4 linked regions of the Arabidopsis thaliana genome follow. The main gene of each other region encodes a partner of the protein of the gene in region 2 in a complex. Each region holds a gene or a part of one and is shown on either strand. Other genes may lie near its edges. The genes, in order: AT1G55750, AT1G18340, XPB2 and AT1G12400.

Region 1 (8,086 bases), about 15 Mb from region 2:
GAGAGTCCCCCTTTTCTTTTTCTTTATAGCTTTACTTATGGAGCTTGAATTTTGTATGTCATGTCAATATGACAAGCAATGAGTAACTTTATCTGTTTTTATTTTTTTCCTCACAATGAGTAAATTAATCATTCAAATCAAAAGTTATCCATGAATGCTATGTCAAAAAAAGTTTTATGTTGAATTTTATATATTTCTAATTTGGATTGTTGTTTGATGCGATTCAAACATTGAAATCTACTACGCCATCGAAGCATTTTCTCTATTATTGTCCCATTATTATAAATATTCACCAGTAACCAAATAACCAAACAATTATGGCACTGAGAGCTTTCTTGGAGCTGTAGTAACGTCCTCAAAGCCTGTAGAGAATTTACTAATACATTGCAAACTTAAAAATGTTCAGATCGAGAAAATCTCTTTGTTGTCTCTCGCAGTTAACAATATAACGCCTAATTAACAAAAAAAAGAAAAGAAAATATTACTACAATATAAACGCATTTTTGTATCTCAATGGTCGGACAAAAAGGGACAAATGAAGATTTTCAAAAACACCAACCAAGGCTGATGAAACAATTCAAAGATCTTGCAAAGCTTTTTAGTTTTAGTTTTTTTGTCCTCTATACGTAGCCGTTTGGTCTTTCGCCGCTCTTAGCTGTTCTTCTCTGCAGATCCACTTCGTAGTGATGGAACGCAGCGTCAAGAGCCTAGCAGAGAAAACCGATTAAGATCAATTTTCAAACCGGATTACAATGCAAGGCTGTAGAAACTGGATATAGATGCAATATGAGTGGAAAATATAGACTTAACCGAGACATGATGTAATAAAAGTATAAAACTCTTCCGTAGATATTGGAAGAAGCTAACCTGTTGCATTGGACGAACCAGTAGAGAAACCTGATGCCGGAGATCAGATTGCACCGACTCTTTCATTGCCTGAGTTACATGGAGTTTAATATCAAGGAAACCGTACAGTTGACCATATATATGCAAATAAGATTCGACTACAATACTGCATCAATTTTATTTACCCAAAAATTTCATTTTCGTAAACGCATTGGTATGATTAGGAACTACTGTTTTAACATAGCAGATTTACTATCAGTTGCTTATTCTGTCAGAAAGATGAAGAATTTCAAAGCTTACCTCAAGTTTTGAATATGTATTGGACATTGCATCCTTCAGTTTACCAACCTGCATGATAATAATATAACATCACAAGAATCGACGAAAAATATTTGGTATAATAACTTGCTCTTGGTGTATAATAAGATTAAATTTCCCGTGAAAGCCTAGGAATCAATATATATAGCAATTTCTGGGACTGGGAGATTTGAAAATTGCAATAACATTACCTTGGTATGAAGATATGTGGTTGTTATCGGATAAGATGACCAAAAATGTTTCAGTAATTCTTGTATTGATGTCCAATGCTGTAGATGAAAGAAGAAAAGTCCTCTTATCCATATGCATTACTACCTAATCTTCACTAACTAGTACATATAGAGCTTCTTGTCACTTAGGACACTGGAAAATGTCGGACTTACGTGTAGAACTTCATCCTTAGTGGACTTTGGTAATCTGTCCAGAAAGCTCTCTCGTGGGTTCTTCCCATTAATATTTTTAGCAGTTGCAATGGTTCGGGTTAACGAACTGAAAACCTGAATAGGGTTAGCAATTTTTAGCTCAGGCAACAAAGCAATAAGTAATGATTTCTTTTGTCAGCACACTTTTTATTATGTGACAGAATAGCACCTCGAAAGAAACTTCAGGCTTAATCAACGGATCACTTAATCCTGTAGCTCTAATCTCTAAAATGGATTCCTTTAGTAATCCATAAGCTTCATGGACATTTCTCTTCAAGCCCTTTGCTCCTCTGGGTACATTGAGGACGTTTCCTTGTTGAGATTCAAAGTAATCACGAGGATCCTGATTCCAAAGAAGAAAGGGTAAGCGGATTAACGCAGCATCCATCATCAATTGTGAAAACCTTATATTGGCAGAAAGCCAAACCTTGATAGAAAGCGGCGCCAATGGGAAATTTTGTGGTGCTTGAAGATCCTCCATTCCTGCTACCCGGGACATTCTTTCCAATCTCTCCTGATTAGCGTCCTTGGTGGTTTCACCATCAGCTTTGCTTACTAACAGGGGTGTAAAATAGAGATGGATAGCAAGGTCAGATGAATAAAAAGCGTGGCATTGTTTAGCAGAATGAAACATCATACCTTGTTTAACCCGTGTGAGAGCCTCTGCAACAATCCTTGTATCTTCTGACTCAACATCTGCTTTCCAATTACAGGAATATTATTGTATATTTACCACCAAGAACTAAAGTCAAAAGGCCAACATAAATGTTTACACTTCCTGAACTATCTACTGTTATAAAATATTCAGATAAAAAGATTCAAATGAGGTTCTTAGAGGTGTTTACCAATGCTTCTGCCTTCCAATACAACAGCAGCATGACGATTAAGATCTTGCAAAAGTGATCGTTTAAACTGATCATTTTGTGGTTCAACAACATCCATGGTGCCATCACGCTGGATCCCGTGGTCCTGTGTTATGGGAAAGTTATATTAAGTACGATAAAGTGTATTGAAAATAACGTTTCAACCGCATACAAAGAGCACAATGTCAATGTTAAGATTAATATTTTCTAGATATCAGTTTTGAGCTCCTTCTCACACATGCTAATATTAAAGTAGTGGTCTTGTGAAAAAGCAAAAGCACTAATTCAGAGTTATTTGAAAGAAACTAAATTCCTGATTTAACAATTCAAATTAGGTTCGCTGAGAATTCTAGAAGAAAGAAACAAGTGACACACATTGGTACAGGTTTGATTCTTAACACCGTTAGTATTATCCCAGTTCTTCCCATACTATTTCTACTAGGGATAGACAATACGTAAACATCAACACTACAAACCTCGATGAAAGACTTATTCTATGTGTGAATCTGTACAGTGTTAACTGAGCATTGAACTTTCCTTTCAACAACCATTGTTGCGCAATTTGGAAATTATCCAAACCTTTCACATGCAGTGGTAGTTGACTTACCATAAGATGAGTGTAGTCGTCTCCCTGGTCAGCCTCCATGTCAAGAGTTGGATCAACCCGTCTAATCTACAGAGATGACATTTAAATCAGATGGATATGCCACAAATATTTTCTTTTCAAACAAAATATATGATAAATGATTAAACCATAGAAGAAACCTAACCTTGTGACGAGTTTCCCGAGCCAATATCTCATCAGGCTTCAGAAAGACAGCGAGTTCCTCGTCCTCAGCAGCTTCTGCTGCAGCTACTGCTGTATTTTTGGTGCTGTAAAGATATTCTGCTCTAAAATATTTTGTCCAGAAGTCTTTTTCTGTCATCTGGCGTAGGAAAATAACTACCAAAGCCAGTTAAGATTCGTCGTATTTGAGGGTTAACCTTATAAACAAAGATGGTCACAGTGAGCTGGTCTTTGTTACCTTACTCGGAACATAATTGATGAATGCCTGCCGAACAGCTGGCTTCTCAGCAAAAATCTGAAAGCGTAATGAAGAAAACATAAGTAAGAAAAGGACTGTAGCAGTTACGAAAGTAACATTTAAGTTACTTGCAATGGATTTACTGGCTAAGCAAGCACAAGATAGAATGTGGGTGAAAGACTGTTAAAAAAGTTTATATTCCTCATTTGTAGTTTCAGATTGGACTAGAAGTTCAAGCACATGATGCAACCTGAACACCTAACAATGGATTTCTGACCCAATATATCACTAGCTGCAACTTCAACCCCATAACATATAAAAAACTTATGATGACGACCTTGGAGGGATTCAGAAACTGATAGAGCAGTTACACTAATGACAAACATAGTGAACCAAAGAGCTCACCTGAAAAATTATCTCAGGTGTCAAGTTAAACGTCACTCTATTAGTCTGAAAGAAGAAAAATGAAGAAAGTGGTTAGTAAACCAGCAGAGATGTCACATGATAATATGATATATATCAACATATGAATGTAATTCAGTCGAACACATCAGTGTATGGTCATATAGATGCATTGTTTCTTTCCTACAAAAGCAGGCACATGAAAATGCTAACTAAATTGGCTGTACTAACTGCCAGAAAGGAGTTGAGATAACTATACCATACCCGCCCATCAGTAGATGGTTTGATGCCAGAAACCATCATGCTCTTAAGCCCGAGCTGCTGTTTTGACTTTCTGATGGAATCTTTACCAAGTAATTTCTGCAGCCAGAATAAAGTCGGTAACTATGAAGACATTGAAGAGAACAAAATTTTTAAAAAAATCAAACAAAGAACCAACCTTTCTTGTAGCCCAGAATTCATCTTCAGTCAGTACTTTACTTTCCACAAATTGCTTATGCAATCTCTGCAGCTCACTTTAAATCACGTATGTTACTCATATTAGAAGGAACTTGATGAGCCAATGAAACTTTGAACCCAAAAAGGCAACTTAATGTTCCAATTACATACCTATTTTCTCTCAGAAGCTTGAAGCGCAGCTCCAATTCCTTAATACTGAGTTGCTCGGAAGATGTCGAGACAACGGATTTATTAGGCTCCAATTCACATTTAGCAAGGGCCTTAGCTGTTTATAGTAAAAAAGAGGTTACAGAAACACCACGAAAGAAAACAAGAGAAATACTTTCCCAATCAATAAAAGCAAACCAAGGGACATGGAGGTTACTGATGAAATCACGGCAAGCATGCATGTCGGGATAATTTTCAAACTCAAAGATATGACTCTTTGCCTACAATCAAGGATGAGGAAACCTCAATGAACACAGAGATATAGCTTCAAAATTCACATATCTATAATGTATCATAGCTTTAATCAAAAAATGTCAACAGAAAAAACCTGCTTGTTGGTGAGATTGAGCCAAGGAGGTTTATTTGATCCTTCTTTGGTATATTTTTGACCTGAGAGATTGAACAAACACAGTGAAATTTGATAATGACTATGCAGCTATCATCATAACTGAAATCGTTTATCAACACAACATCTATTATCCAATAAGCAATGTTAATGAGAAAAGGTACAAACAATACTTTTGATGTTCTGAGTAAGTACTTTGAGCTTAGAATCTGATTTGGGATCATTAGGGACGAAGAGCAACATCCCTTCTCTCTGCAAATTTTTCGATTTTGCAAAAGAAACAGTTAAGCTGAGAGATAATATAACTCAAATAAGAGCGAAAAGTGTAATCTTCATACAATTCTGAGAAATCCAGGAGTTCCTGGATCCTTGACAGTGCTCTTGTATTTGACTAGCTTCTCTATTTGCCCACCAGCCATATCCAACTGTAGAAACGGTGGTTCTCTGTTTTCCAGTCGATCAATTCATCGGAAATCAAGCGAAATTGGAATCTAGGTTTATACTATAGAACGGGAATAAGTATCCGACCCGAATCATGACCCAACTTACTGACCCGAATTAAACTGCTACGGCCCATTATGATTGGTCATGTGATAAAATGAACAAAAAGTCAAAACTAATTAGGGGCATCAAAATGTAAGATTCATCCTTATGTCGATTTTCATCTGATCAAAGACCGGTGTGTAGATATCCGACCAAGCTTTCTTGAGAGGAGAGTACCGGTTCGGTGGAACGGCTACTTCTCTAAACTGAACTTTCCCATCAGACATTTCATGAGCCTTCAAAGTTCAATGGCTTAACCGTCATAGGCTCGGTTTCAGTTGCGGATTGAATAGACTCTGCCATGGACTTTAACACCTTCAATGACTAAATTCAAACCTGTAAAATAGCATACAACACCTTAAATTATGATAGTCTCACGACTATAATCAATATGTACCAAATTCTGTAATCTCTAGTATAAATCAATAATGAGGATAGACACAGAAAAGAAGAAAAGATACATATTTGTGCATTTATCAACTAAATTGACATCGACAAAAAAAGACCACAAACCAGATAAAGCTTCAAACGATAGATTTTTTTTGAAAGCTCTATAGAATTGAAGCTGATTACTGTACAGAAGAAGAAAAGAGTAGCTGGCTTACTAGAGGATGTCGACGGCTGAAGAAGAAGAAGGTAGACGTAGAAAGAGTTTTGAGTTCGAAATTTGGGAGGTTTTTTTGATTAGGGATCTATTTATTACAGAATGAAACGACGTCTTTAATATTTTGGGCCACTAATAAGGCCCATTATTGACGTAGTTCGTTTGCCGGGAAAAAATAATTGAAAAAAAATCTTCATTTTCCAGCATCTTATGAAGAACAATATTCCCTCTCTTCAAAATTGGAGGAAGAGATGAAGCGAATCTCAGATTCGAAGATGAAGAAGGCGATGGTGGTGGTGATAGGTAGCTGTCGAAGGTAAGTTTCTTCTGCAAGGAAATTCCATTTTGTTGTTTTCGTCGTTTTCATTTTGCGATTCTATTAGACCCATATCGGTTTACTTGTCTGATTCTTCTTTTTCACTTTGATTTTTCCTACGCATGAACACCATCCATTCCATATATCAGATTCGTGCGACATTCTAGTTTCTGATTATTTGGCAGTCACAGAGATTTCCTGATTCGAGTTCGTTTCTATGTAATTTCCTCTTAGTTTTCCGGCATTGTGGCGGATCTCAGAGGTCTTAGAGTCTGATTTTGTTTCCATTGAAGACGATCTGAAATCGCTTATGTAGCTATTGATTCAGTTTCAGGGAGTTGTTTTCTGATTTTTTTTTTTCCGGAGATTTGGTTTCTGTAAACCATGTAGTACTCACATTGGTATGTAGCACAGATTCTAGTCTTAGAGTAGAAGAATGTATATATTCCTCTGTTTTGAATTTTTCATATTAGCTAAGAAACTAGTTGGTTGATTCTCTGAAACTACTGAACCATTCCTGTTGAATTTGCTTGTAGCATGATATGTTTTAACATCTGTCACCATTACAATAAACTAGGGAAGATTACAGATCATGGGAGGATATGTATGTTTAGCTTTTTAGCTTGGTATAACTTTAGTATCATGAATCGGGTAAAATTGCTAAAAGATGATTGTAGATTTTACTTTAAAAGTTCAGAAAACTATATTAGTGTTATAGATTAACAATTCAAAGTTCAAGCTAAGAAGCTCACATTCAATCAAATCATGAATTTACATGTTGCTGTCTTATCCTTGTAAGGACAATACTTGGGTTTTGAGTTAAAACCCCCAATACTTTAATCTGTACATAAAGACCAACAAATCCTTTTGCACAAAAAATCAGTGTCCATAAATGTATTTTGTATAATTATAGCACACATACCCTTTCTGATTTCCCCTAAAATCCTTTCCAGGTACTGAGGACTTCGTGGAAGATTTCAGAAATCAAATCTCTGTCTGCGCATTGCATGAATATGTTGAACTCGTCTCGGATCTCAAATATTTTGCCAAACTTCACAAGATATCTCATGCAGCTAGCCTTCAGTTCAGGTAATTGATAGAGATAAGCATTCTGTAGCCTCTCAAGCACATTCTTTGTGTCGATATCGTCTAGAAGACTCAAGTGGCACGCCTCTTTTAAATCAGCAATATCATATTTCTCAGCTGCTTGGAGGAGTGCCAATCTGTGTATAAGAAAGTCTTCGTTTTGGATATTGCCGTAGATATAACTGAGAAAAGCTTGGCAAGCATCAAGTGGCATGTCGAGTACGTTTATTTCTGATAGTTCTTTCTCTTTCAGGTCGTGTAAAAACATGCTGCGGAAAACAGGTGAACGGGCAGCGAGAACTGCTCGGTGAGCTCCAATGCTTCCATCAGAGGCATTGATCGTTATGTCGGTGTAAATGCTTTCTGTCAACATACGTCCAAGGGATGTTACCGCAGTTACTTGCGATTGATTCTCAGTTGAACCGTTGGCCCAGATAGAGTAAAGTTCTCCACTCTGCCGAATTCAGGTAATTTATCAGTTCAGCACACATGTTTCACCAAACATACTGATTCAATGTTGCATAGAATAGTTAATTTAAGAAAGAAAAGGCTAGTCAATCTATAAGTAATATCTCTAAGTGATGAGACAGACACTTACATCTTGAGACAAAACCTTCAAGTCAAGAAACTCGACGTCGATGATGATTTT
Region 2 (5,087 bases):
ATTAAATCCATGTTAAAAAGCACGAATTCCAACTAACACTACATCTACTTCATAATGTAGTAACATTAGGAATTGTAAAAGTAAGTTTATATGCATCAAATCATTGTCAATGATAATCAGTTCGCATAAACAAAATCCCATATTTTTGAGAAACTGGCGAAAATAAAATTGAGCAGAAGAACAAATTTACCGTTTCTTCGGTAACGGCGGAAAGAATCAAACGGAGAAAGAGGATCGTCAATGGAAGAAGCTCTTTTTATAAGGTCATGAATCGTCTTTTTCTTCTCCAAAATCTGCACGACAATTCTCAATTATCGATTTCGAACAAAATCAAAGATCGAAATTTCGAGTGCTATGAAACATACACATTACTTCCGAGATTTTTTTTACCTTTCGCCGTTTCTTCAAATCCATTGCTCGCCACACCGATGATTCTCTTCCCTCTGTCTCGTTCGTTCTCCACGTCTGAAGTGATTCGGTAGGAGACGGATCCATCAAACGGGTTTGGACCCGAAATAGATCCGACAATAATAAATGACGTCAGCCCAAATGTCGTATTCGTTCAAATTCGATAGAGAAGCCCAACTTTCTATATGGACTATTAGAGGCCTTTTTGTTTTGTTTGCTCAAGTCAACGGGTACTATCTCAAGGAAAAAAAAAGAGTCAAAAACTTTGCAAAATTGATTTCACTTTGATATATGGTATAAAAATTATCGAAAATGAACGCAAAGACACAATTAAACAAAGTTTGCAGTTTCTCTCTGGCACAAAAGATGATTTTAGGTACTAGGAGCTTTTCTCTTCTTATCAGAGGCAGATGAAGCATCATCAAGTTTAGACTGACCAAATACAGACCTGCAAATTTCCAAAAGCTTTTCGATATTAGTATCAAACAACATGATAGATTGTTATCTTGAGAAAGAACATGACGGGTCAAATCTCTTACCCGCAGGTTGAACATTTCTTGTGATGCTCACAGAAAATGGACAGACACACTGAGCATATGTAGCCCATATCTATTGTCTTCTTGTGGCAAAAGCACCTGCAAATTTTGTACTTAAAACCATCTGTTATATATGCAGAGGAAGACCCGATTAATTGAAGAGTTAATGACTTGATCACTTACGATGCGCGAAAATCTACACCTATGGGTTTAGGAAGTTGTACAAAACCGCGGGAGTGCAAATCGGTTGCAAAGATTGTCTTTTGTGCAAAACAAAACAATCCAGAGTTAGCAGCCATTGAGTATTGAGTTCGCTAAATGAGAGACGAGTCACATAATGGTTTGCGTTTGGACTTGAGTTGCGTACCGTTAGATATTGAAATAGCCCATCCAACTGTTTAGGTGTATGATGTACACCACCAGTTATATAAGATGCCTACAAATAAGCCAGGAGATAACAGCTGACGCATAGGTCCAGTTTGACGAGTTAGAATCATGTATAAAGGAGAAATGATATTACCTGCTGCAAAAATGCTGAGTTCTGTACACCTATGTAACACGAATCAATGGGAACCTAAAGAACCAATTGATGAAGTGATTTGGGTACATGATACTGGATTTAGAGAACATCAAGAACCGGAAATCCCAAAGAACCAATCAAAATGAAGATTACCATCAAGCGTTGGGCAGAGAAGATAGAGTTCATAACAGCAACATACCTGAAAGAATGACAAAACCTTTTAATGAGACCAGACAAACAAGACAAAATCTTGCAAGTAGAAAAAAAATGAAGGAAGAAACATACTGTTCCGGGCCATCTGGGGAACCTTGCAAGCATAAAATCTGTATTTCATATAAACGTCAATAGCACAATCAGTTCTGTATTTTGGGGGTATACGATAGAACAGATAACACATAAGAAAAAGGAGTCTATATTCTCATTAATACTTTAAGCTGAAGATTCATACAAAGCAATCAACATGAAAAGTTTTATCCAAGACAACTGATTGATACATATATCCTACTGAACACTCACCCGAGGCTGGGGATGAAGATGTCCAGAACGGAAAACCCTCTGTATATCTAGAGCCATAAATTAAGTCAACAACAAAATGTGAAGACTGAAAATCAAATACATATATTACCAGATAACATTGATGGCCTTAGACATGCTATAGGTTTAGCTGAGAACAAACATGTCAACCTAAAATGTTCCTTACTTAACCCAGTCTAGAGAGAAAGCTAAGCTTCAAGATCACTGCCAGAACTTATGCAAACAAATCCTAATAGTTTGTACTATATATAGCTTCAAGAAACCTATCATGATGCTATATGCTTTTCCAAGAGGATACAGCAAAGAGCCATGGAGAGTGATCCTGACAAGAGACAAGAAGGTATTCTATCCTCAGACACTTCCTCCTTGCTGAGCTCCTCATCTTTGGTAACAAACTCTTCCAATTTCTTAAGCAAAGAACCAAAAATTGCAGGCATTCCAGTTCCATTGCTCTCGAAATTTCCATGATTTGATGTCAAAGACGAATCATAAATGTAATCACAAGAACTGTATCCAGTAGCTATAACTACAACTTGGTTCAACTGATTTAACCCCAAAACCGCATTAAGAAACGCAAGCACCTACACATAACAGCAGCAAGCTTTCTGCATAAAAATCGAAGCATTGAACAAACAAACAATAGATTCGTTAGAGACACTTACATGAGAAAGGAACTGAGAGAAGGTAATCGATGTAGTGCTCCAGAAAAGAGGATTCGTATCAAGCAACAAAACTAGAAGACTAACATCGTCTGCGACCAAAAAAACAATCACGAGCCAATCAGACTTGTTTCCAGTTTTTGGGATATCTAATCTACATACTTATACGATTGAGGAATGTGAGGGTTTCGAAGTAAGAGGAATTTAATAATAACCTGAATACTGCTTAGAAGCAATGGCAGGCATAGTTTCACAGACGATTCCAAGTCAGAATTTCAGTGTGCCGGGAAATCTTCCCGGTGGGAACGAGATCTGATAATGCTATTTCAGTGCCGGGAAATCGTTTTTTTTTTCTTCTCCAATATATCTTCACAACAGGTCTTTGAGTTTTCCGATTACGAACCAGAGTTAAAGAATGAAATTCTCGGATGCTATAGTAACTTACTGAAAAATTCAAGGATTTTTAGCTTATACAGAAATCTGAAGTGATTTGGTAGGAGCCGGATCCATCAAACGGGTTTGGATCCGAATCAGATCCGACTATAAACGTCGTATCGTAAGCCGGGCTTACTAAGCCCAAATATGGCATTAGTTCAAATTTTTAGATAGGCCCAGTTTTCTTTATGAACTAAACCGCCTTTTACAAGGGCCTTTTGTTTTCTTTGTTCTTTCTTTTGGAAAAGAACACCAAAATCTCAAGGAACAAATTTATTTTTCAAACTGGCTACTGATACGAAATTCAGTTTATTCAAGCTTTATACTATCGGACGTCGATATATTAATTTTAATGGTAAAAAATTTTGGTTGAAATGTTGTTTGTTTCAATACTAAAAATTAGTAAATTCACACATGTCCTGATATCCAATCCATCCTATGAAACTATAGTCATGTTTGGAGATCGTCTTGATATATAATACATGGGGCATAAAAAGCTTACTACATTTTTTTGGGAGTAACAACTAACAAATAAACAAACAAGTTTTTTGGTTGGAAAAAGAAGCAAATCACATTCATAAAGGTTTGATTGACTTCATATAATTTGATTGTTATTCATTTGATTGACTTCATATTATTTTTATTCAGTATTCTTTGGATATATACGCGCATGACAATCGACATGCTAAATACTTGTAATCCGTAGGGTCATGTGTGACTGTCCACTAAGAATCTGAAGATCTAATCATAGTTTTTACTAAAATCATATTAATAATTAACTTGGCAATATTAATGGCGATGGCCATTGGAAAGCTTTTGCATGATGGCCTAAATATAACTTATTGTTTGGTCATTTTCATTAGAAGTCCTTAGCCTCCGAGGTACATTGAACCTCACAAATTCACATTAAACTTTAAAATCTCCTATAGTTTAGTATATGAAAATTATATAACTAAATTCCACCAATGTCTTTATGAGTAAATAATAATCTTACTATCAAGTCAAATTAATATCACTAAAATAAATGTTTTGAAAGTATTATTATTTTTCAACAACAATGGATTATGTGTTTGAATGTGAAGATAACGATTCTGATAGGTAACACAAAGCTTTAAAGTTGTTTTAGCTGTAAATTAGAATGCAAAACTATATAAATAAGTAGTACAAAAAGTTAAAAATAACGTTTTTATAACGCTTTTGTAATTTGTAATATCACGGTACATGCTGTACCAAACTTTGATAATTGAGTTACCATTCAAAATCACTAAAACAAACTCTTTAAATGCATATAAATCTAATCATTAATGCAAAACGTTAAAAGTAACGCTTTTATAACGCCTTTGTAATTTGTAATTATCACGATACAGGCTGTAACAAACTTTGATAATTGAGTTACCATTCAAAATCACTAAAACAAACTCTTTAAATGTATATAAATCTAATCATTATTGCGTAGATTTATCTCAATATACACAAGCCACTATAGCCAGGTTCCGGGTAAGTAGGACAGATAGCAGTCCCATGCATTTAACCTCGTGCAAGATAAACATAAACGGTAGACACACTAGTTGCCATTTTTAGATACAACTCAACAAATAATAATTAAGATAAAGAACAAAAAAGAGTGATTAACATTTAATGGAAAGATTTATTAGCTTCCCAGGCTCCTCACTTAAATCCCACTCAAGTCTCCATATAAAAACTGCAACTTCCATCACTCTTCGATCACCATCATCACTCTCTCTCTCTCTCTTCTATTTCCATGGCTCTTGTTCGTAAACGCCGTCAAATCAACCTCCGTCTCCCTGTCCCACCGCTCTCTGTTCACCTCCCCTGGTTCTCCTTTGCCTCATCCACCGCCCCCGTCATCAACAACGGAATCTCAGCTTCCGATGTCGAGAAACTCCACGTTCTCGGAAGAGGAAGCAGCGGGATCGTATACAAAGTCCACCACAAAACCACGGGGGAGATATACGCTCTGAAATCAGTCAACGG
Region 3 (7,379 bases), on a different chromosome or scaffold from region 2:
AGCAGACTCGGTATTAGCAGAGTCCACCGAAACCTCTCTTATATCAACACAAGTAGCCTCTTCACCACTAGCTGGTGTTTGAGGAATCCCTATAGGCACATCGAAAGGGGTAGGCAGTGGCGGTGGTATATAAGCATCAGGAGATGATGTCTCTAAGTTTGTGTCTACTACTACAACACCAGTAGAGATTGCAGAGGAAGTCCTGTTATGAGCGGAAGATAAAGGCACACGCTCTTCTGTTGCCCTTGGGTACTGCAAAATACAAGTCATAAAACAAGTTATATTCCCATATGAATCTCGAAGCCCGTTGGGGCTTTTAACTCATTTAGTGTCCTGAAGCACATCAAGATTGATTTATTTGCAGCCTATCAAAGCAAGGACACCCAAAAAAAACGAGGAAGTGGGAGAAGTATCAGACTAACGTAGTAGTACGCAGGTCCATTATCTACATCAGCTCTTCGTGAAGAAGAACAACAACAGCAACCTCCCATCTCTTCTTCTCTTTTTTTTTTTTTCTGTTTTACAAAAACTACAAAACCCGAAGACTCTTCATCTATGCTAACCTACAAGATATGTGAAGAAACAAATTACATTCTGAGATCAGTAGGAGAATATTTATCATCTATATGCAAGAAACTCAAACAAGCTTTATCGTTTTCGATATCAGTTTGAGCTGTCTACTAAAGTCTGATCAGACTCATCATGCTAGTAGCAACAATAAAACAATTCAGCTACTAACAGTTCAAATTCACTCTCAATAATCAAAGATACAATAAACATCAACCATTAAAATCGAGACAACAGTGTTGCGACTACAAGCCTATGTGAATCTCCTACAATTCTCATTCTCTTTAGCACCATCTACACACAATTGCAATAAATTCAAATCAGTTTTACACTAAACCCCAAAAACTTAAAACAATTCTACTCAGAATTTAACTCCAACACAAACAATGAATCCACAAAAAGAACCAAAGCTCCATTAAGAGCAAGCTAATCCGTAAAACCCTAAACCGAAACTTATAAAAGCAACAATAAACATCAGAATTCTCAGAATCTAGCATAAACACATAGGAGAAATACGGATCAAAACAGTAAAAAAAAAACCCACAGAATTTCACACAAAAATCAAGCTCAAAACCTAAAGAAAAGCGATCACTAGCAAGAACAAACACCAAAGAAGAACCGATCATCTTCTCGAGATTGAATCAGAGAAGAGGAATTAAAAATCTCAAAATCATAGAGAGAATTTTACTTTTTGTTCTTGGGGGAAGCTTTTTTTGTTTTGTCTTCGTCTTTCTCTGCTTCTGTGCTTTTTGCGGTGCTGTGTTTATCGTGCGCTCTATCAAAATGACTTTCCTAAGAAATTACAAAGACTCTTTTTGGGCTCAATATTATATTTACTTACCTGATTTATTAAATTCATTAATACAATTATTAATTAGCTGATTAATTATTTTATTTTTTCCGTTACAATGTATTTTTCAAAATTTCAATAATGAAATTACATAACTGAAAATCGGCTGAAAAGTGTCGACCAAAAAATTATAAATTGGGAAGTACCATTTTCAGTAAAATTATTACTATTTTTTTTCCGGCAAATAATTTATCGATGTTTAAAAAAGAAACATGGGCTCAAACTTAAGAATAAAGCCCATTTAAAGAATCCTATTAAAAGCCCATATTTGATCTGTTACTGCAGCCTTTATATATGAATCGTGTTCTTACGTTTCTGCTTAACAATTTCCTTCCTCCGCTTCAAACGAGTCACCGACTCGACACAGGAATCCGAATTCGCCGGAGACGCAGCTTGCTTCGTTGAATAGCTTACAACGGGAAATTACCACGAAGACGGTTGTATATTCCCTCCGTCGTACAATTTAGGTTATGTGCGAATTCACAAATTGAAAATACAAGAGAAACAATCCCTAAAATCGATTTGATTAAGAGGAGCGAAAAGAAGAAAATCAATATGGGAAACGGTAATGGTCTCGAATCTCGATCGTACTGAGTTTTGATTCGTTTATTGAATTATCCGGTGAAAAGAGTATGCTAATACTGGGGAAAATGTTGATGTTTAGATGAAAGAAAACGACCTACAAAGAAGATGAAGTACGGTGGGAAGGTTCGTGTTGATTCTTCTCCACATGACTTTTTTTATTTATTAGGCTCTTCACTTCTAGTTAGTGTAATTGTACTGTAAAAATCTCAGGATGATCAAAAGATGAAGAACATACAAAACGTTGAAGATTACTATGATGATGCTGATGAGGATTCTCGTGATGGTAATATTGATTACTCTCGTATAATTAACATAGATACATTGGGAACAAAATTGAAATAGAATTTATAATGGTTTTTAAAGGTGAAGGAGAGGAGAAGAGGAGAGATTTTACTGATTTGGAGTTGAAGCCGGATCATGGAAATAGGCCTTTGTGGGCTTGTGCTGATGGAAAGATTTTCTTGGAGACATTTTCTCCTCTCTATAAACAAGCTTATGACTTTCTTATCGCCATTGCTGAACCCGTTTGCAGGTTTGATTTTGATTTGATTATTATATCAATGTACAAGTTATGATTTTTGTTGTTGATTTTCATTCATTTGTTACTATTTCAGGCCTGAGTCAATGCACGAGTATAATTTAACCCCACACTCGTTGTATGCTGCTGTTTCCGTTGGTCTTGAGACAGAAACTATCATCTCTGTTTTGAATAAGCTATCTAAGACCAAGCTACCCGGGGAGATCATTGATTTCATCCATGCTTCTACTGCTAATTATGGGAAAGTGAAGTTGGTATTGAAGAAAAATCGGTATTTTATTGAATCACCATTCCCGGAGGTAAGTTCACCAGACTGATCCTCTTTCTCTAGTTATGCGTATGGGATTTTTGTGTAGTTTCTCTGTTGGTTTTGCTCACTCGTTAAATATAAACAATCTTAGGTGTTGAAAAGGCTTCTCAGTGATGATGTCATAAATCGAGCAAGATTTACTTCTGAGGTATGTTGAACTCCTCAATTTAGTGCTTTATGTTTACTATTACTGGATGGAAATACATACCATGATCTGTTGTTCTCAACAGTTTTTGCATCTTTTGATACCAATGCGGCAGAGAGATCTATCCTGATTCTCTTGGGGCTATTGGTTTCGTGTTTAAATTCTAATTTTTTCTTGAACTATTTAATAGATAAATAAACTCATTATCCTTCTTTTTAAACTCCTTGGTTCATTGAATGTGAAATTGATATCTCTTATACCATTGTATTCTCCACAGTATGTTGAACCAACTTATTAACTTTTTTTCTAGCCATATTATGGTGGTGATGGATTTACGATCGGCAAAACAAGTGGTGAACTTGAAGCAGGACCTGGGGAGTTGTTGAATGAAGCAGAATTGGCAGCAGCAGCAGAAGAGAAAGAAACTCACTCATTTGAGATAGACCCTGCACTGGTAAATTTCCCCTAATGCTTCTGAAATAAATCGTGTTGATGACTTTGTTAATGTTATATGATCTTTACTCAACTCACGGTGTCATGTTCTTCTGCTCTTGGTGTGTAGGTGGAGAATGTTAAGCAGCGTTGCTTGCCAAATGCCTTGAATTACCCTATGTTAGAGGAATATGACTTCAGGAACGATAATGTGAGAAATAATTATCACACTTCAGGTCAATTTTTACTTATCAGATGATATGAACTGGATGTTCGTGATTGTTAATAACTTGATGGTGTCTGTCAGGTTAATCCTGATCTTGACATGGAACTGAAGCCCCATGCACAACCAAGGCCATACCAGGAAAAAAGTTTGAGCAAAATGTTTGGAAACGGTAATACGATATAACTGTCTACGCCCGCATTTATTTTCCTTAGTAATTTGTTTACAGCGACTGCTAAATTGATTGTGAACTTCTCTTAGATATATAGATTTGTACTTTCATACACTGTTCTGATCTAGCTTCATTGTGAACTTCTAATAGATAAGTATCTTTGTTATTTCTCCTGAAAGCTTGTGACTGATCTAGACTCCTGATTCTGCAGGACGAGCAAGATCTGGGATTATAGTGTTACCTTGTGGAGCTGGTAAATCTCTAGTTGGTGTTTCTGCAGCGGCTCGTATAAAGAAGAGTTGTCTTTGTTTGGCAACGAATGCTGTCTCGGTGGATCAATGGGCCTACCAATTTAAGTTGTGGTCTACTATAAAAGATGACCAAATATGCCGTTTCACTTCTGATAGTAAAGAACGATTCCGTGGAAATGCTGGTGTTGTTGTGACAACCTATAATATGATTGCCTTTGGTGGTAAACGATCTGAAGAAGCAGAGAAGATTATAGAAGAAATGAGAAACAGAGAGTGGGGGTTGCTGCTTATGGACGAGGTAATCAAATTGTTCTTAGTGTGATGTGCCTTTGAATTGAAGTTAGTGTTTACTGGTAGTTTACATTGCGGAAAAGTTATATGTGGTTCATTTAGAATGTGTATCCACTATCCAGTGTTACTGGGATCTACAAATAACAAGTTTCCATCCAATGCGTGACATTTTAAGAGTTATGTTTTTCATAGGTGCATGTGGTTCCAGCCCATATGTTTAGGAAAGTTATCAGTATTACAAAATCTCACTGCAAGCTAGGACTTACAGGTAAATGAAAAATTCATTTTCACATACCTTTTTATTTGTTATACTTCAGTTGCAGAAGCTAAGTCTCTTTTTTGGTCTTTTGTTCAGCCACCCTTGTGAGAGAAGACGAAAAAATTACAGATTTAAACTTCCTCATTGGCCCGAAACTCTATGAAGCCAATTGGCTAGATTTAGTTAAAGGAGGCTTTATTGCAAATGTTCAGTGTGCTGAAGTATGGTGTCCCATGACCAAAGAGTTTTTTGCAGAATATCTGAAGAAAGAGAACTCGAAAAAAAAACAGGTTAATGCGTCTAAGCTTTCTCCGCATTGATCTTTGTTTTCCTTGGATATTTTTACTGGATAAAGATCTTAAAATAATTGACTATCTTATTTTATGTTTGTTTGTTTTGATACACTAGAGTCCATGAATTTGATGTAGTCTAGAACCTTATAATATGGTAAACATCAATATTATAGGTTATTTGTGTATGTCTTATAATTTGGCAAATGCTTCTAATAGATCACCCTGTAATAGAAACTAGGAAACCCCTTCAATTGTTCTGACATTTACATATCTTGTCTTCTGGTGTCTGCAGGCGCTTTATGTCATGAACCCTAACAAGTTCAGAGCCTGTGAATTTTTGATACGTTTCCATGAACAACAACGTGGGGATAAAATCATCGTCTTTGCAGACAATCTTTTTGCACTTACAGAGTATGCAATGAAACTCCGGAAACCGATGATTTACGGTGCAACCAGGTTCGTTAAAGAACCACCTATTGAGAGCACAATTTTGTATGTTTCACTCAGTTTCCAATCTGATAGTTCTCTTTGTTCAATATGTAGCCATATCGAACGAACAAAAATTCTCGAGGCGTTTAAAACCAGTAAAACCGTGAACACTGTATTCCTGTCAAAGGTATTAGCGTTGTTTCCTTTCCATTGACCTGGGAATATATAGAGACTTGTTCATTCCATTTTCATCAAGTAACTTAGTTTCGGTTTCTTTTATTGACTACAGGTTGGTGATAACTCCATAGATATCCCTGAAGCGAATGTGATCATCCAGATTTCGTCACATGCTGGTTCTAGACGTCAAGAGGCTCAACGTTTGGGTCGTATCCTTAGGGCTAAGGTGTGATTTTAAGTATTATAACTCATCACATTTTGCGTCTCTCCTAGAGTTCCTCTTGGTTGTTGGATCCAACACGTTTTATTTCTCCGTGATCAAAAACAGGGTAAACTTGAAGATAGAATGGCTGGTGGAAAAGAAGAGTACAATGCATTCTTCTACTCGCTTGTTTCTACCGATACACAGGTAAATCACTTTATTGTTGAAGTAGCCATAAAAACTGAAATTCATCAGACCAAATCAGAACCAAAATATAATTCAGTTCTAGTCCGCACTCGTTTCCAAAACACAGAAAAAATTTTGCTTTCCAGAACCCGTGACTTGAATTCCTGAACCGATAAAAATCGAATGACTGATTGAATGGAGAATGACTGATGTAAGGATCGTGAATGTTGAAATGCAGGAAATGTATTATTCAACGAAAAGACAGCAGTTTTTGATCGACCAAGGTTATAGCTTCAAGGTAATAACAAGCCTCCCACCTCCGGACGCGGGTTCAAGCTTGGGCTACCACAGTCAAGAAGAACAGTTGTCTCTTCTCGGAAAGGTGTTGAATGCTGGAGACGATATGGTTGGTTTAGAACAACTTGAAGAAGACACAGATGGAAAGGCTCTAAAGACGCGACGAAGCATGGGATCGATGAGTGCAATGTCCGGTGCAAATGGAAGGGTCTACATGGAATACAACTCAGGTCGTCAAAAATCTGGTAACCAATCCAAGAAACCTAAAGACCCAACCAAACGACACAATATCTTCAAAAAACGTTATGTTTGAGACAAGAGAACTCATATTCGGCTATATGTTTTGAGTTGTAACTTTGGTGCAAATTTGTTTCAGGCACAAAATCAAGAAAACCTAAACGAAGACACCCTACCTTAAAAGACCGTTAACATTTGATATTTGTTTTATTATGTGAATTGATTAATTGATATTAGAAAGTTCTTTCCTTTTTTTTGATATTTGTTTTCTAGCATATCATGATATCGCCTCGAGAATACCTTTGAAAATTATTTTGTTATTGTCAACTGTCATGATATCTCGCTGAACCAACATATAAAACACGATTATAATTTGGTTGACAGATCCTGAACAACAGTAAAACGTACTTAGTTTTCGAGGTTAAAAAATAATTACTTGTCATGATTTCGAATTAAAAATAATAATGGGCTCAATTTGAGATTAAAGAAAGCCCACGCTAAAAGAGGCCTACTAAATGCCCATATTGGATCCGTTATTGTAGCCTTTCTATATATGAATCGAGTTTGCATTTCTGCTATAACGTTCTCTGCATTCACATGATCACATCAACTCAGTAACGGACTCGACATACCCGGACCTGGACCCGACACCGAATCCGAATCATAATGCGACGGAGACGCAGCTCGCTTCTCGGTCTAGCTTACAACGGAAAATATTTACGGTACCGTTTGTTTTCCCTCTGTCGTAGAATTTCTGTCTTCGACACCGGATTGATATAATCGATTGAAAAGACAAGAGATAATGTCTAAAATTGATTCGATGAAGAGAAAAAGATCAATATGGGGAACGATAAAAGTCTCGATCTTACTGATTTTGGTTAATTTTCATATTACCCTGCAAAAAAAAGTATTGTCAATTCTGGGGAATTTTGTTG
Region 4 (3,492 bases), 2.1 Mb from region 2:
TAAATCAGTTCCCTCACATCTCGCAGACCAATTCGATTAAAAACATGAACTTTCGGACATATTAAGAGGAAAAGGAACAAACTTGCAGATTGAGGCTTTAACCCAGAATAAAGCTTGATGCTACAGCTGCAAAAAGGACATAACAAAGCAATCAGATGCAAGTGAATATGTGTGAACAGAGACAAAAGTATGTAAATTTAGATAAATTGAAGATTACCTCGGACTCAGAGAAGGCTGGTGAAGCGTTGTATTAAACGAGACCGCCATGGTCGTCGAGCGTGTTAGAGCCGAACACTAGATTTTTTGTTTGTTTTATTTTAAGACTAGAAGAAGTGGAAAAGCTTACATACAGATTGGGTAATTTGTTGAAGAAGATTGGTTTATTGGTTTGCTTAACCGAATTGGTTCACATGTGCAAATTGTATGTGGTTAACTTAGTTTCTGATTTTACTTGGTTCATCCTTCATGAGTAAAATGAAATTTGGAACTTCCGAATTCTTTAATCTGTTTATTATCTACTACAAGTAATTGAACAATAACCAAACAAACGTGTTTATTCAACAAAAGAGTGACAAAGTAATCAACACAACCAGAGAAAACCGACTGATACTAAACCGGTACAGAGAGATTATTTGTCAACAAAGTTCACTTTAACTCTATTAAAGCATGAGCCATATCAACCAATCTCACGATCTCAATGAAGTTTTTATTCATTTGAATCAAATGAAAGAAAAACAAGAAGCAAGTGTGATGTGATGTGATCTAAGAAGTGGGCTTCTCGTAAGAGTTTTGATCTCTAAAATCAGAAATGGCGCTGCGGATCATCTGCTCTACATGTGGTTGCACGAACAAGTGAGTACTATCAAGTACATGAATTATGAATTTCTGAGACGGAGGCATCGAATTGTTCATGTTCACTATGAATTGTGTCATCGGAATATCGCTGCAAACAAACAAAAGATACAAAGAAACAATGAATGATTCAATTGTGTTCATCAAGATTTGCTTAGGAATCGTAACAACGGTAAGAAGTACCAAGAGACGAACACTCCTTTGATTGCATTAACCATAAGTAAAACCTGTAATACAAAACACGAATAATCTGAGCTCAATTTTCATCAAAAGATGACCCAAGAACATCCTCGATAACTCAGAACATAGATGAATGAAAGATTAATCCTTTGTTTCAATTCAAGGACCCCAAATTACTAGATGCAACGATTACATAACTGGGGTTTCGCTACCTAAACACCACAACATAAACTCGATTCCCAAATCTTAAGACTTTAACGATTACAGACCAAATAGAAATAGGATGAAACCAGATCAATTTGGTCTAGAGATCAACCACACACCTGTGAAACCACACGAAGAAGATTGGAGGAATCAATCAAGAGGGTAAGCGATGTTTGAGGCAGAGAAAGAAATCACCTTGATAACGACGATTATTGTCACAGTAAAGGAGAGAAGGATTAGCTTTATAAGATAACCTAATTACAAAACTGAAACAGAAGGTTCGGATCATCTTTTAAGTTATCGTTTATTACATCACTCAAAAGGGTTTCTCACTTTTAAAAGTCAAAGTTCACATGAATTAACTTTTTTTCTTCTTATATTTGAAATTATTCAGTTTCATTGTTACTGTAACCAGTAGTTTACGAGCTTGATTGCTTGTACAAATAATGATCAAGACATAAAAAAAACAGTTAATCTGAACATGTTTCTAAGAAAGAAATAAATACACAAATCTTCCTGCCACTAATCTTACAAACATCACAAAGCAAACACTTTTCCTTGCTTTTTTTCATGTCCACAAGCATGTCGCTGTATCTTTAAGCGTAGTGTCAATAAACCGAAGAAGATGGACCATGTCTTCTTCATTAGTCAGTCCTCGTAATCATCCAGCGCCGAATAAATCATCCTACGAAAAAAAGTTGCAAACAGAAAGTGTTTTAGCTCTCTTGATCTACTTATGGTTAAGCAATAATGGGATTCGAAATATCTTTCTCGTTACCAGAAGATAGTGAGAAAGAGGTTAAGGACAATGTAAGCAAGCTTGAACAGCCGTTTCTTCTTTTCCCAGTTAAGCAAATTGAAGATCTCGGTGACATCTACTAAGTGTTGTCGCTTCGAGTAACTGAACAACGGAGAAACCGAAAGGATATCAATACCACAACATTTGATTGGAGCAAAAGATTGAGATTAGTTGGACTTACAGATGGAAGTTGTAGTATAGATAGGGGAGACATAAGAGTGTCATGAACCAGTGTCCTGTTAGGAGGTAGAATACGCATAGAACTCCTTGAACAATGAACTCCGGTAAAACCACTGAGTTTATTCTCGACGCAGAGTCGTAAGGGTTGATGTAATCAAACTCGAGATCCGCTAAGCAAACAAGCTGCAAATGAAAGAATTCAAATTCAGAAAAGAGAAGTTAGCTTCCTAGAAAATGTCTTCCCAAGCTGTTTATACATGGAAGATTCCGTTTGCTAGCTTATCAGTCTCAGTGACTCCTCTCATTAGAGTCTACACAAACAAAACTAAAGGGTTCACTTCATTATGCCGAAATGGAGCTCATTTATAAAAGAACAACCTGTGCTTAAGGAGGTAAATCCTCAGACCTGACATGAACATCCAACATAAGAACTAACTATGAACCTATAAAAGTGTTTTGAGAAGCCAATACGCACTATATATGTTCCTGAATTTACTCCTTTGATGATAACATTCCCAAAAATTACACCTTTACTTCTTCCAAACATGTGACAAGAACATAAAACCCTAATTCTAGCTAAATCACAGACTACCCAGAAACAAAAAAAAGGCTCCAAATGAATCAAAATGGACAAATATGGTATCATTATAACCGTAAGCGAAAAAATTGGCAAATTCCGATAGAAAAGTTAAGAACTTTGGGTTTATTTATCCTAGAAATTGGGAATCGCACCTGATAGACGATGATTCCGACAAGAGCGATGAGGAAGAAGAAGGAAATAAGCCATGTCCAGATATCTCCCATCTTCCTCCTTTTGGTTCCGACAATTTCCTCGGATCTATCCTCGTTGTTTCTTGGTCTTCTCTCTCTCTCTCTCTCCTCCCAATAATGTTCGATGAGGAACAGAGAGAAAGTTAGGACAACGACTTAGTGGTCGGCTAGTTTTGACAGTTGAGCTCGAGATTCTGATCGGAAACAAAGAAGCCTAGAGAAGGCAGGCACGAGACTCAGCTTCCGGTTCAGTTTCCGGTTAAAATCGAATTCGTTATTTCCCGAAGTACGTACCATTTACGCCGGTTTAATATTTCAGTATTATGAATCTATGATTTATAAGCCATTGGGCCTCTATAGATTTAGCCCAATTAAATAGTAAACAGTTTGGGTTTGGGCACGAGAGCCGTGTAATTTTTGTTGAGTCGTGTATAATTTTTTTTAGGTCATTGTCTTATTGTATAGTTTTAAGGAAATCAAAAATGAAAAATTAAAAACAAAAATGG

What was found.
Region 1: AT1G18340 (region 2) and AT1G55750 share a complex: the UniProt entries of both Arabidopsis thaliana proteins name them as parts of the 7-subunit TFIIH core complex.
Region 3: AT1G18340 (region 2) and XPB2 share a complex: the UniProt entries of both Arabidopsis thaliana proteins name them as parts of the 7-subunit TFIIH core complex.
Region 4: AT1G18340 (region 2) and AT1G12400 share a complex: the UniProt entries of both Arabidopsis thaliana proteins name them as parts of the 7-subunit TFIIH core complex.

Annotation. Positions count from the first base shown.
Region 1 is NC_003070.9:20,839,829-20,847,914, forward strand, and holds AT1G55750 (BSD domain (BTF2-like transcription factors, Synapse-associated proteins and DOS2-like proteins)), read right to left. Parts: upstream 6,072-8,086; 5' UTR 6,037-6,071; intron 5,768-6,036; 5' UTR 5,308-5,767; coding exon 5,227-5,307; intron 5,141-5,226; coding exon 5,062-5,140; intron 4,933-5,061; coding exon 4,871-4,932; intron 4,764-4,870; coding exon 4,700-4,763; intron 4,601-4,699; coding exon 4,486-4,600; intron 4,392-4,485; coding exon 4,316-4,391; intron 4,237-4,315; coding exon 4,141-4,236; intron 3,925-4,140; coding exon 3,880-3,924; intron 3,532-3,879; coding exon 3,475-3,531; intron 3,376-3,474; coding exon 3,220-3,375; intron 3,123-3,219; coding exon 3,057-3,122; intron 2,556-3,056; coding exon 2,432-2,555; intron 2,283-2,431; coding exon 2,226-2,282; intron 2,142-2,225; coding exon 2,014-2,141; intron 1,930-2,013; coding exon 1,756-1,929; intron 1,662-1,755; coding exon 1,548-1,661; coding exon of another isoform or gene 1,494-1,547; exon of another isoform or gene 1,434-1,493; coding exon 1,356-1,433; coding exon of another isoform or gene 1,293-1,355; exon of another isoform or gene 1,195-1,292; and 7 more. Other genes in the region: AT1G55755 (uncharacterized protein), read left to right, coding at 6,287-6,338, 7,305-7,440, 7,691-7,748; AT1G55760 (BTB/POZ domain-containing protein), read right to left, coding at 7,289-7,891, 8,036-8,086. UniProt on the Arabidopsis thaliana protein: Component of the general transcription and DNA repair factor IIH (TFIIH) core complex, which is involved in general and transcription-coupled nucleotide excision repair (NER) of damaged DNA and, when complexed to CAK, in RNA transcription by RNA polymerase II.
Region 2 is NC_003070.9:6,310,832-6,315,918, forward strand, and holds AT1G18340 (basal transcription factor complex subunit-like protein), read right to left. Parts: upstream 3,101-5,087; 5' UTR 2,904-3,100; coding exon 2,873-2,903; intron 2,750-2,872; coding exon 2,661-2,749; intron 2,580-2,660; coding exon 2,297-2,579; intron 2,028-2,296; coding exon 1,981-2,027; intron 1,788-1,980; coding exon 1,750-1,787; intron 1,664-1,749; coding exon 1,618-1,663; intron 1,519-1,617; coding exon 1,465-1,518; intron 1,381-1,464; coding exon 1,312-1,380; intron 1,205-1,311; coding exon 1,128-1,204; intron 1,044-1,127; coding exon 948-1,043; intron 857-947; coding exon 781-856; 3' UTR 612-780; downstream 1-611. Other genes in the region: AT1G18335 (Acyl-CoA N-acyltransferases (NAT) superfamily protein), read right to left, coding at 191-293, 391-495; MKK7 (MAP kinase kinase 7), read left to right, coding at 4,855-5,087. UniProt on the Arabidopsis thaliana protein: Component of the general transcription and DNA repair factor IIH (TFIIH) core complex, which is involved in general and transcription-coupled nucleotide excision repair (NER) of damaged DNA and, when complexed to CAK, in RNA transcription by RNA polymerase II.
Region 3 is NC_003076.8:16,542,602-16,549,980, forward strand, and holds XPB2 (homolog of Xeroderma pigmentosum complementation group B 2), read left to right. Parts: upstream 1-1,738; 5' UTR 1,739-1,972; coding exon 1,973-1,982; intron 1,983-2,081; coding exon 2,082-2,125; intron 2,126-2,212; coding exon 2,213-2,285; intron 2,286-2,365; coding exon 2,366-2,534; intron 2,535-2,616; coding exon 2,617-2,839; intron 2,840-2,941; coding exon 2,942-2,998; intron 2,999-3,305; coding exon 3,306-3,449; intron 3,450-3,557; coding exon 3,558-3,638; intron 3,639-3,734; coding exon 3,735-3,822; intron 3,823-4,033; coding exon 4,034-4,371; intron 4,372-4,556; coding exon 4,557-4,632; intron 4,633-4,719; coding exon 4,720-4,913; intron 4,914-5,208; coding exon 5,209-5,372; intron 5,373-5,459; coding exon 5,460-5,532; intron 5,533-5,634; coding exon 5,635-5,748; intron 5,749-5,850; coding exon 5,851-5,931; intron 5,932-6,148; coding exon 6,149-6,520; 3' UTR 6,521-6,583; coding exon of another isoform or gene 6,584-6,636; 3' UTR 6,637-6,726; downstream 6,727-7,379. Other genes in the region: AT5G41350 (RING/U-box superfamily protein), read right to left, coding at 1-252, 423-563, 785-787. UniProt on the Arabidopsis thaliana protein: ATP-dependent 3'-5' DNA helicase/translocase; binds dsDNA rather than ssDNA, unzipping it in a translocase rather than classical helicase activity. Component of the general transcription and DNA repair factor IIH (TFIIH) core complex.
Region 4 is NC_003070.9:4,219,874-4,223,365, reverse strand, and holds AT1G12400 (Nucleotide excision repair, TFIIH, subunit TTDA), read right to left. Parts: upstream 1,540-3,492; 5' UTR 1,356-1,539; intron 1,080-1,355; 5' UTR 1,071-1,079; coding exon of another isoform or gene 1,036-1,070; 5' UTR 997-1,035; coding exon 763-996; 3' UTR 501-762; downstream 1-500. Other genes in the region: CLP2 (CLP protease proteolytic subunit 2), read right to left, coding at 83-126, 218-267; AT1G12390 (Cornichon family protein), read right to left, coding at 1,885-1,921, 2,015-2,137, 2,217-2,398, 2,948-3,019. UniProt on the Arabidopsis thaliana protein: Component of the general transcription and DNA repair factor IIH (TFIIH) core complex, which is involved in general and transcription-coupled nucleotide excision repair (NER) of damaged DNA and, when complexed to CAK, in RNA transcription by RNA polymerase II.